3 separate regions of the Mus musculus genome follow, and regions 2 and 3 are each reported to be linked to region 1. The links are microRNA targets in miRTarBase. Many come from high-throughput screens and were not tested one by one. Region 1 holds a microRNA gene; each other region holds the end of a gene's coding sequence. Distances are between the middles of the regions.
Evidence for each region. Region 1 holds the annotated microRNA mmu-miR-370-3p (GCCUGCUGGGGUGGAACCUGGU, at 2,806-2,827, opposite strand). A microRNA usually pairs through its seed, bases 2 to 8, with sites in the 3' UTR of a target mRNA and lowers its output. Matches are read on the target gene's strand: a 7mer-m8 pairs with bases 2 to 8, a 7mer-A1 pairs with bases 2 to 7 and ends in A, and an 8mer does both.

Region 1 (4,068 bases):
CTAGATGAGAAGCATAGGTCATGGCATCTTTAGCCCATTCATTTTGTTTTATAAGGGCATCAAATTTTAAATATATCATGAAGATGCATAAACACCCCACCCTGAGAACGATAAAAGAATATGCAACACTTAACATATGACACACATATGCCGTATGGGTGTATGCAAATAAGCATATGCATACTTCTTTTGGGTGGTGTGCTCACTCTGTGCAGGTGCGTATGTGTACATACATATTAAGGCCAGAGATCAAACTTGAAAGTTGTCCCCTAGGCACTATCTGTGACATACGGTATCATGGGCCTAGAACACACCATGTAGGGTAATCTGTCTGGCCAGAGAACCTAAGAGGTCTTCCTGTCTCTACCTCCTTAGGACTGAGACTCTAAGAATGCCACCGTGACCAGTTTTTTATATATGGCCACCAGATCAACTGCAGGCCCATTTGCTTATAAGGCAAGCACATGAACAATTGAACTATCACCCAAGCATAAGAAATTCCCTTTTCCTTTGATATTTTCCCCATACGAAATAGCTTACTATATTACTTCTAATTCGGTAATTATTATGCCTAATTGGATTAATTACCCTTGGTTCATGACAGTCTCCACACTGGCTAGGGCTTTGGCCATCTTTGGTTTTATTTACAAACTCAATCATGTTTAATAATGCAATAAACACCCATCAGCCAACTACCCAAGTTCAAAATAACAAAACTAGCCATTACTCACATTGTTGGCCCATGGCTCATTGCCCACAGCGGTCACTGCCAAGGTCTCTACCAGCAGGCTAGTCTCCATTCACATTAGGGCCTCCATTCTGTAGAACACAAGGCAGATATTTAAAAAGGACGAAGTAGAAACACTTGCTTCAAAGCCATTAGTGAGCAGGGCAGATTATCTTAATCTAGGATCATCATACAGGCCCAAGCACATATTCATTCATTCATAAATTCATTCATTCATTTATCATTTCTTATCATTTTAATGAATGTGTACAAATTCACTATCCAAAAAACCCCCAACCCCAAAGCAGTTCTTTTTTATAAACATTGATCCTATATGTCCTGACCACAAAGGAAACAACAGACCCTTTTTGAAACAGACCCAGTACAGAGTAAGAGACACAGCCATCTTTGATTACAGATACAATCTCATCATCATTGCCTATTTGGTCTTCCCAGTGTTTTCATACATTTTAAATACAATAAACACAGATGAGCCTAGTTCGAATCTCACCACATCTTAGTACATAGAGGTAAAATAGAAGTTTTTTAAGGCTACAATTATACATCAACGAATAAAAATTAACCTTTTGGTCAAAAAAACATTTTTAGTGGCCCACTCCTGGGATCCTGTCACCTGGCCATTATTTACTGACTCATTTAATTCCTCTTTTAATGCAGGCCAAATTCAGTTGAAGTAGGCAAACAGAGCAGTACCCCTGACAGTTCTGCTCACGCGGGGGCCATCTTACTCACGGCCTACGGCTGCGGTTGGTCTCTCAATAACTTCACACAAACTCAGAGTGGAAGGGCAGTTGGTAGAGGTCAGTGGGTGTGAGGAACAGGAGTGGGTCAGACAATACAACTCGCATTCGCAAGAATATTAAGTTCTCAGTGGCTAATGTACGTACAGAGTGGCAATTCTAGTCAACAGTGACGTATATTGAGAATTAACACGGAGGGTCCAAGATATTCTCCTCCCACATAAGTATTACAGAGTGGGGTACTAGGCACAAAACATCAGAGCTTAAATACATACATTTTTATTTGTCAATTAAACCAACAGGACAGAAAAAAAATACCTCTTCGGGTCTACCTATGAGGCTCTTTAATTTTATGCACAATTAATTTAAATCATGCATAATTTCTTTTATACATAACTTTATACCATTCCTTATTACTTCCTGAAAGGAGACCTCCCAGGCCTGCTACCTATCCAAAGTGGCCACATGAAGGCACAGAATGGCAGGAAATGGCTGCTGGACCCGTTTTCTCATAAATGTCAGGTTAGCAGACCTGGGTCACTCTTTGACTTTATTTGAAAGTCTCACGGCTGATGGATCCAAGGCATGAGGACAGTCTTTCTTGTTCTTTTCTAATTTTTAATATAACATGAGCAGCCCAATTCCCCTCTGAGTTCTCTTTCCATGTTAGCCCCTTGTACTGAGTTAACACATCTCATGGTTCACAGCCCACACTTGTCCTCAGGCCTTATCCGGGTCTTATTAATTAGTATTCGAACCACTTAGGACTAACCACGCATGGCCCCCACCCTTTTGACCCCACTGTCCTGCTGGCCACACAAATGTTTTTAACAATGGCTTGTCCCTCCTGCTTTTATACACATAGCATGGAGACAGATGTGTGTTCTTGAAATAGGCTTTTCAAGAGCCCATGGTCTGCTGAAGATATACAGCTTGACATGTCCATTTGACATTTGGTGACAGGACTCGAAACCAGGTCCTCACACACATTGGCTACTTCTACGTCTGGTCACAGTCATGAGGCTAGCATAGCCTACAAAAATACCCACACAATGATACCCACCCCCAAACTCAGCCTTTAATTCTAACTTGCTGGGTGACATCTACATCAATTGAGAAGCCTCTCTGTGCTCTGTTCCCATCTACCAAACATCCACGCCTCTGATCCCTTAGCAAAGATAATCCTTCTCCTCAAAGCCAGGCAGAAGCCCTCCCACAGCAACTCTAAGCCCCTTTCACAAATCTTTGCCCCCCGCAGTAGCAGCAGCAGCAGCAGCAGCAGCAGCACCCGAGCGATGGTGACAGACAGACAGACAAACCAGGTTCCACCCCAGCAGGCACTCATGAGCTGTGTAACTGCAGAGACGTGACCTGGTCTCTCCGTCTTAGGCCCCGGACTCGTAGGATTTGTCGACTGAGAACAGCAGCACCTTCCTGGGTCCAACAGGCTGAAGGACTACCGACCGACCGACCGACCAACCGATGGACCAGGCAGACTGAAGGATAGACTGACAAACTGACTGATCCTCAAAGCCACACCCACCCTTTGCATACCCACACAGCTCCACCCACCCCACACACCTATCTGCTCAACAGGTCTCCTAAAAATTAGACAGTCAAACTCGCTCTATGCTCTGAACTCTATGCCTGACCTTGGCCGAGACATTACCGGGATCTGTTCCTTTGTGGTCAAGATATCATAGTTTTAAAAAAAAAAAAAAAAAAAAAAAAAAGGATCCACCCACAGGGACTCACTTCTGAAAACTGAACCACATTGCAGGGAGTCTGTGCTGTAGGATCACTGGTTTTACTTTGGTTTTCTTTAGAGGTCTCTTGAAGACCTGGCTGGCCTGAGGATGGTTTTGAATTCATGACCCTTCCTGCTTCCACCTCTTGAGTGCAAGGTTCAGAGCACCCAGTATTATACAGTGCTGGGGGTTTCGAACCCAATGCTTCCTGAACGCCAAGCAAGCACTCTCAACTGAGTTACACTTCCCCCAGCCCCATACTGCCATGAAACTCTCCCAGTGCATATTGCTCCCCTCTAAGTGGAAGGAGGCTCCCAGTAACCAAGCCAAGCCAGTTAGTTCTCTGAGCTGCTCCCAGGACGGGGGGGGGGGGGGGGGGTGGGGGGGCCCTCAGGTGTCAAGCGAACGAGCCCCCTGTGGGCCCCCAGCCACAGGCATTGTTTGTCCTGCACCCAGCACGGACTGCTCAGCACACGGTTTCGTTCCCACAACAGTCCTGTCAATTAGTCATAATTAGCCAATAGTTACTGAATGCAGACACTGTACCGAGCACCGTGGAGCCCGCTGTGTGCAGCCCGCTGTGCACACCACACACACACACACACGGACATTCCTCGGGTGTGGAGACGACAGGGCAGCAGACATCCTCCCTCCCATTCTGAAGTGGGCGTTACGGGTCTAGATGCTGAGAACAAGGGAAAATCCTGTAAGGACGACCAGCCCTGTGGGGAAAGCCAGGAAAAAAGAACACTCAGACTGAATAAATGCAAGGTATGGGCTGACAGAGTAACATTCAGGATTGGGGGGCCCCTGGGCTGTGGCAGAGCAGCTA
Region 2 (4,068 bases), not on the chromosome of region 1:
ATGGTGAGATGTTTACAATAGAAACCTATGTGGTCCCTTTCCACTCACACCTCCAAAAGGAGCTGTGCAAGGGAGTGAGGCATGAGGGAGGAAGGCATCTTAGTATATCAGCCAAATTAGACCTAATTCTTTACTGAGTAATGACAAAGCATACTTATGTGGTGGAAAATAAGGCTCATCTGTAGATTACACTAAATGGTATTTGGAGATGAGAAGACCATGCACCCGGAATAAAAAAGACTCCTGATGTAGGAATTGAAGGATTCATAGCGACCCTGAAGAAGGCTTTTAACCTCACTCAGAGAACTCATAACTCCACTGACCTGTTCTTAAATGGGAAGTTTCACAAAGCATCTCTGACCACTTATGGTGACACCCGTAAGAGTCACGGATAGACTACCCAGGTCAGCCTCTCTGTGCAAGAGTGGATCCTTCGAGCTGGTGAAAGGAAGCCCTGGGGATGAGATCGCTCAATCTGAGTCAAAGGCAGCTGCTACTGCCTGATGCTTCTCTATAAACAAAAGCAATCACTTCCTAGAACAACAGCAGCCCAGTTGTTTACTCTTAGGATGGCAGGACACAATCTTCTGAGAGAAAGAGAAACCCCACAGAAGAGCCATCAATCATTGTCCCAGCCACTGGCGCAAAGCAAAATTAAAAATAAAATAAAATTAAATTAAATTAAAAAGCCCTTTCTGGATCCAAGCAAGAACTGCCTGGGAAGACAATCATCTAGAAGCTTGGCTATCACTCAGAGGATAACTACTTCTCACCTACCTCTGTAGACCAACAGCCTCACCTACCTCACGTTTACTTTTAATCACTATTTTAGTCAATGTAATCTTGGTCAATTCCAAAGCTTAGCTTGGACAAACACAAAAACACATGTGTAAATGTCTACAGATCCATGCCATCTTTTAGGACTCATATGCATGTGAAGGATGAACATTTTGCTAGTCTAAAATCAGGTATCATTCCAAGAACAACCACTGTAATGACCTATAAAGGCTGGTCCTTGAAATGAGGCTGCCATCACACACGTATTCAAGCACAGTATCTATTACTGGAAAGCAGTAAGGAAGACAAGCTTTAGAAACTTCAGACTAAATAAAGTGATGTTCGCAGTGGTAAGAATACACATCTAATGCATATGCTAAGCTATTCCTTATTTATTAGCTCTCTACACTTGACCTACAGCTATTTACACACAGATAGACACATTACGGTATACATTATGTATCTTACTATAAGTCAACAAAAAGGGGGTAAGAGGACTCTAGCATTCCAAATTATTAGGACTCAGCACTAAATAAAAGGGAGAAATTCACATAATACCTCCTATTCACTATGCTATACATACAAGGATGAGGAAGCCCACTTGGCCAATGTGTCAATGTCTGCTAACTTGCATAGGAATGTGTTCAAAGGAAATGTTAATTCCTACAACTTAATCCAAATTTGGACAACCCAATATTCTGTAACTTTCTCAAAGACTGAAAGATTATCTCAAAAAGAATTGTTTAAGAGAAGACAGCCACAAAGCACAGCTATCCATCCAAACACATGGGCAAACTCTGAGTCCACATTTGGAGAACTAACTCAACTTTCCACTCAAGAAAAGGATGGCCCCTATCTACTTGGCTCCAGGTTATAAATCTCAAAATAGAAACTAAGAGAAAAATTGTACAAGGCACTCTAAGTTCTTCAGAAATGCATGCTATTCATACAGAGATGACTTTTTCAATTTCCAGACTCAGTCCCTCAGAAACCCTCCAGAAGATAGGAAGACTGTGTGTGACAATCTGTGATCCCTAACAGCACTGGACTCATGACGTCCATCGCCTGCAAACAAGTCGATGCATTACAAAAAAAAAAAAAAAAAAAAAAAAAAAACTAAGGAAAGGTATTGTTTTGTTTTGGTTATCAGGACTGAGTTTGATTGAAAAGCTATAAAATGATCTATAAAAGTAGTAATTCTCCTTAAGTACAAGGCTTAATAAAAGTCATGCAATTTAAAAAGTTATCGGCCTAAAGAAAGTAGATACAGAATTCGCTTTCTTCATCTCTAATGGAGAAGAGGCAGTGATGAAGACATAGGACTACACACACCATCCCTAGGATTTTTCTCGAATTCCTCCTGCACTATCTTCAATAAGGAGAAACAGCCTACAAAAAAAGATCTGCTGCCCATGAATGTGGCAGTTGGATACCAAGCTAAGCTAAGGTCAATATCAAGAGTCCTCCACAAGTGTGATATCCCCCACAAGCACACTGCTAAACCCTAAAGTCCCTGTTCGTGGCAACCGAGGAACATGCTGGCCATCCTACAGAAAATCTACTCTCATCAACAGTAAGACTGCCGAGTGTTCTATGACTGACAGCCACTTCGTAATGAAACATACTCATGTGCTAACTGACTATAACAGCATAGATGTATATACACAGCAAGCCTTCAAAAAAGACAGAAATAAGGAAGAGAACTTATAAGGAATGGAATTAGACTGTTCCTCTAAAACTTAACAACGTTTCACAAACTAAGCAAGTGCCAACCCCGGCACACAAGTAGTGTTGACGCTCCTCCACGATACTGAACATCTTACAATAGGACCCATTTGGGAAGGCATTTGGCAAATAAGGAATGTTAGTAAAATGACAAAGAAGCAGCTAGAAAGCAGGTAAAAAAAAAAATGATTCATCATCTACTTAGCATTAAATATCAGTCATTGCCTGGTAGCTGATAATTCTCAAACTATATTTTAAAATATTCTTATCTGATCAATAAATGTGGGGATCATCAGCAGTATTTACTTCCCCCCTAATTAAAAGCAAAATTATAGACAGACTTGGTAGTCCGTGGAGTATGATTCAGTTTAAGTAGGAAAAAAGAGAGGGAAGAGATGGAAACCAAGTCTGCTCCCCACGGCTGCTGACATTTCCATACAAGCTGTAGTACAAAAGGACCTGCAGGAAAACGCTCTTCCTTTCTCTTGGCAAGCAGAATCCGTAGACTCGTGCTAATGACCAGCCACACACACAAAGTTGTCCTCAAGTCATTAGTACACAACACATTAGACTTTCAGGACCTAACTAATCATACAGTCTCTACAAATTCATTTTTTAACTGTAGCAGGGATTAGAGACAAAAGCCTTTATAAATGAGCAAATTTCCTTCAGCAGAGGGTCTACCAAGCCTTGGCAATGTAGACAAGACACTTTACTCACGATACCTTAGCACATGTTCTGTCCTAAGTGATACATGAGAATAATTGGTCTCTCCTTACTTTGGTACAGAAAACTCTCAAACCACATTTTTTGCACAATTCACTCTGCTCTGTTTCATGTAAGTTGAAGATTTACGTTTTCCCCATCTCTGGGAAAACAGTCTTACAAATAGATGATTTTTCTGCTAAGGAGAATTTGGCTAAAACCTTCAGCGTAAACAATGCCTGGGAGGTGCGACAGTTACATTTTTGTTTTCAAAGACCAGTATTTTCTCTTAAGTGTCTCACCGTATCCTTAAGTTCATAAGGAGAAATAAACAAACATGAAAATTCCAAGTGAACACACAGCAAAAAGTCCAATGTTTAGGATCACTTTAACTTGTGGAGTCTCTTCTAACATTTGTAAACACACAGCCTCCTCATCCATCAAGTCTCTGAGGCTCCTCTTGCTAAGGCTTTTACTCTTAAAGCCACAAAACCAGTCTATGAACTTCCAATACCGGCTTCTATTTTCCGTTTCCTTCTCTCTTTCTCTCTCACCCATGAGAGCTGCTTGCCCATTGGAATAAGCATCTACTGGTGTTTCTGCCTCTGAATGACCCATGGAAGCCACTGGGTTGCCCTCTTCTCGGCATGTCACCAGCAGATTAACGTCTTCAGGTTGCAGTCCCTTAATGCTGTCTTCAGACTTCCCGTTGGGAATAGTATGGCTGATGACTTCGCTATTCTCGCTGCACTGCAGGATGCTCTTCTCTTGCATTTTGTATGGTTCGTCTTTCTGAGAACAGCTCTCCTTTGTCACCAGGGTCTTCTTTGACCAAAAGGTAGTGGTACGAATCTGATCCTT
Region 3 (4,068 bases), 110 Mb from region 1:
GTGAATCTCAAAGCTGGGATTATACTACCTATCTTTATACCCACAGAGAGGCTGGCACATGGCAGCCTGTGACAGGAATTCAGAGTAAACTAACATCCGCCATCACACCCGCACTCACTCCCTTCCCTGCCTTCCTCCCACAGGGTGTTTGGCTTCCCCGTCCACTACACAGACGTCTCCAACATGAGCCGCTTGGCGAGGCAGAGACTGCTGGGCCGATCGTGGAGCGTGCCGGTCATCCGCCACCTCTTCGCTCCGCTGAAGGAATATTTTGCTTGTGTGTAAGGGACATGGGGGCAAACTGAAGTAGTGATGATAAAAAAGTTAAACAAACAAACAAACAAAAAACAAAACAAAACAATAAAACACCAAGAACGAGAGGACGGAGAAAAGTTCAGCACCCAGAAGAGAAAAAGGAATTTAAAGCAAACCACAGAGGAGGAAAACGCCGGAGGGCTTGGCCTTGCAAAAGGGTTGGACATCATCTCCTGAGTTTTCAATGTTAACCTTCAGTCCTATCTAAAAAGCAAAATAGGCCCCTCCCCTTCTTCCCCTCCGGTCCTAGGAGGCGAACTTTTTGTTTTCTACTCTTTTTCAGAGGGGTTTTCTGTTTGTTTGGGTTTTTGTTTCTTGCTGTGACTGAAACAAGAGAGTTATTGCAGCAAAATCAGTAACAACAAAAAGTAGAAATGCCTTGGAGAGGAAAGGGAGAGAGGGAAAATTCTATAAAAACTTAAAATATTGGTTTTTTTTTTTTTCCTTTTCTATATATCTCTTTGGTTGTCTCTAGCCTGATCAGATAGGAGCACAAACAGGAAGAGAATAGAGACCCTCGGAGGCAGAGTCTCCTCTCCCACCCCCCGAGCAGTCTCAACAGCACCATTCCTGGTCATGCAAAACAGAACCCAACTAGCAGCAGGGCGCTGAGAGAACACCACACCAGACACTTTTCTACAGTATTTCAGGTGCCTACCACACAGGAAACCTTGAAGAAAACCAGTTTCTAGAAGCCGCTGTTACCTCTTGTTTACAGTTTATATATATATGATAGATATGAGATATATATATATAAAAGGTACTGTTAACTACTGTACATCCCGACTTCATAATGGTGCTTTCAAAACAGCGAGATGAGCAAAGACATCAGCTTCCGCCTGGCCCTCTGTGCAAAGGGTTTCAGCCCAGGATGGGGAGAGGGGAGCAGCTGGAGGGGGTTTTAACAAACTGAAGGATGACCCATATCACCCCCCACCCCTGCCCCATGCCTAGCTTCACCTGCCAAAAAGGGGCTCAGCTGAGGTGGTCGGACCCTGGGGAAGCTGAGTGTGGAATTTATCCAGACTCGCGTGCAATAACCTTAGAATATGAATCTAAAATGACTGCCTCAGAAAAATGGCTTGAGAAAACATTGTCCCTGATTTTGAATTCGTCAGCCACGTTGAAGGCCCCTTGTGGGATCAGAAATATTCCAGAGTGAGGGAAAGTGACCCGCCATTAACCCCACCTGGAGCAAATAAAAAAACATACAAAATGTACTGGTGCTTTCTGTCTAAGTTGCCTTTTGTGTGTTCTTTTATAAGGCCCCACCATCCCCTCTGCACATGGCAGCTCCGGTCCTGGAATGTGATGTTTTTGGTCATCTCTAAAGACTGCAGTTTCATACTTGGGAGGCTGATGACACCTTTATTATAATTATTCTTATGGTTCTGGCTATAATTGTTTTAAGATTTTCTTTCAGAAAACAAAAACCCAACACCCTTCCCTTTAGGTTTCAAACCAAGGTGCGGGGGGGTGGCAGGTGCTTTTTTAAGGACCAGTGGCTCTGGTGCCCTGGCTCCCACCCCTCAGGCCAGGTGAGCCACTGGGCAACAAGCTAGGCAGCCAGGGAGTTTGAGGCCCACCCTCCGGGCCAGTCACTCTTCTCTTCTTCTTCCCTTCCTCGTGAGTCCGGTGTGTCAGGGCTGGAGGGAGGCCGGGGCAGCCTCCCTCCTTGTGTGTGTGGTTGGAGTGGCGTGTGTTTCTTTTCTAGTGTTTGCTCTGATGGCTGTGCTCTCACTTGAGTCAGCTTCACCTGGGCCATGTGCTCGCACTTTGTTCCGCTCCCCAGCCAGGGCAGGCAGCCTGGCATTGGCAGCGGGAAGGGAAGGTGTGCTTGGCCCCAGGGTGAGGGCTTGCCTGGATGGATGGAGTGTAGATATGTGGCATATAGAGATATATATTTTATAATGGGAGGGGGGACGGCACCTCCTGGGACCAGCAGAGACTGGGAGGTGTGCTGTCAAGCACATGGTCCCAAGACCGCATCCCTAGAAAGATGGGGCCTATGATAGGCCCTATATAAATACATAGATAGGGTCATGTATAAGAAATATACACAGAGGGGGTTGGAGGGAGTGGGCTCTGTGTTGAGCCTGGGTCCTTCCCGCAGACAGCCCCACAAACAGTATATCAGTCTAACACATGCACAGGAATCTATTTCTGTCTGGATGCACACCAGGGAGCCCCCAGCACACTTCTCTGCAGGATCAGGACGATGGAGTCGGCTACACAGCTCTCTCTCGTACATCTGTTGCCCTGATGACAGGTAGACTCGATCCCAGAAGTTGCTAGGTGCTGAAGTCAGGAAAAGGAGGAGGTTTGATCCAAGCAGGTGCTTCCTCTAGCAGGTCTGTGTTGTATTCCCTTTGCCTCTGGTGATGTCAGCTTCTGTTAGCAGCCTGTGGTTACTGACCTGCAACTCTCGGCACCAGTCAAGTCAGCCCTCAGCCCCTACCTATTCTCCCCAACCAAAGTCGAACTGAAATCTCTCTTGGCCATGGGGCTTCCATTGGGAAAATAAAATGTTAAAAAAAAAATTAAAATGGGACAGTGAACCTCACTTTTGGAGTAAAGCAAATCAGTAATTAGTGCTAAAACTAGTCAGAGGCTTTGGCCCCTTGCTCACTGCTCGGGACTAAGCTTGGCTGGTGGCTTGGTACACTGCTTGGGCTGTGTAGTCCTGCCCACCTCTGCTCATTTTCTCTGGATAGAGTTTTAAGATCGCAGCTAGTTTCCCCTGCCATGGCAGGTATGACTATGGGGCTGGAGCATCCAGGAGAGGGGGATGCTTGCCCTCTTGGAGTCCCTGTACTAAATGTAACGTCCTCCCTTGCTCCAGCAGGGCTCCATTCTGACCTGGAGTCCACCAGCACCATGCAGGAGGACTGGAGGGGAGGAAGGCTGCTTTAGGCAGTCCAAGGTGCTCCCTCCCCCTCTAGCAATGGCAAGGTCTTCCCAGCTCCTGTCAGGACTGTCTTCAAAGGCCATCTCTGCCCACCGCATATGTGACGAAGCTAGCCTTTCCCAGGAGCCTAGTGCCGCCTCAGCTGGGCCTGGTGCTCCCGTGCCTGGGGTTAGTGTGAGGGCTCAGGAGGAGGAGTTCCCAAGGGACTGAGTAGAGGCTTCCAGGTGGCTGACCAGTACTGACCTGACACGGTCCCTGATGGACTCCTCATGGGGCGGGCATCGGGTGGCCTTCTCTAGCTTTCCTTCCAGCCCCATCTGTAGGCTTAGTCTTACCATAGTGTGAGGGCACCAGGCGAGTTAGCCCCCAATATCTTTTGGGGAGGGGTGTCTTTGGGACTGTGCCAATCTGGCTATTCATCCGTCTCTACCCCAAGTGCGGCTTCTAGGGTCACCTCTGAGGAGAGCTGCTGGGATGCTGGGGTAGCTGAGGGGAGGTTGTGGGGAGTTTGCAGTGCATCTAGGAACTAGCTCACTGCAGGTGGGGCTGAAGCTGGATTCAGTCATGGGAGGTTCCCTGTGGGCTTTCCTTTCCAAAGACTAGGCTTGTTTTCCCTAGAAACTAAGGTGCTGGGGACTGGGTGACAGCCACCTCTCAGCAGGTGCCGTGTAAGTGTGAAGATTTGTGAAGATCTGTGGCCCTTGCCCAGGGGAGGTAGCTGGTGCTAGCACCAGGGTCACAGAACTAAGGCCTCCTGAGGAGGCACACATACCAGCGGGGTCCCAAGCTGGTGCTAATTCCTCTCATAGGACCCAGTAAGCCCGGGAGCCTGCAGTCGGCTGTTT

Region 2: miRTarBase lists Slc5a3 as a target of mmu-miR-370-3p. The part of its 3' UTR that is shown has no 7-base or 8-base seed match.
Region 3: miRTarBase lists Dnmt3a as a target of mmu-miR-370-3p. Seed matches in the 3' UTR shown: 7mer-m8 at 914-920, 7mer-m8 at 3,155-3,161 and 7mer-m8 at 3,879-3,885.

The regions. Positions count from the first base shown.
Region 1 is chr12:109,617,064-109,621,131 of GRCm38, reverse strand. Mir370 (microRNA 370) reads right to left here and starts at 2,874; the gene lies at 2,796-2,874. Rian (RNA imprinted and accumulated in nucleus) reads right to left here. Exons shown (of 21, transcript NR_028261.1): 3 at 3,783-3,921; 4 at 732-819.
Region 2 is chr16:92,078,668-92,082,735 of GRCm38, reverse strand. It overlaps Slc5a3 (solute carrier family 5 (inositol transporters), member 3), which reads right to left. Exons shown (of 2, transcript NM_017391.3): 2 at 1-4,068. The coding sequence ends at 3,523. The region is part of intron 1 of Mrps6 (mitochondrial ribosomal protein S6); the gene reads right to left. Among named protein-coding and RNA genes, the nearest start is that of Mrps6, 22 kb to the right of the region's middle.
Region 3 is chr12:3,907,463-3,911,530 of GRCm38, forward strand. It overlaps Dnmt3a (DNA methyltransferase 3A), which reads left to right. Exons shown (of 23, transcript NM_007872.4): 23 at 144-4,068. The coding sequence ends at 285. Among named protein-coding and RNA genes, the nearest start is that of Gm31623, 15 kb to the left of the region's middle.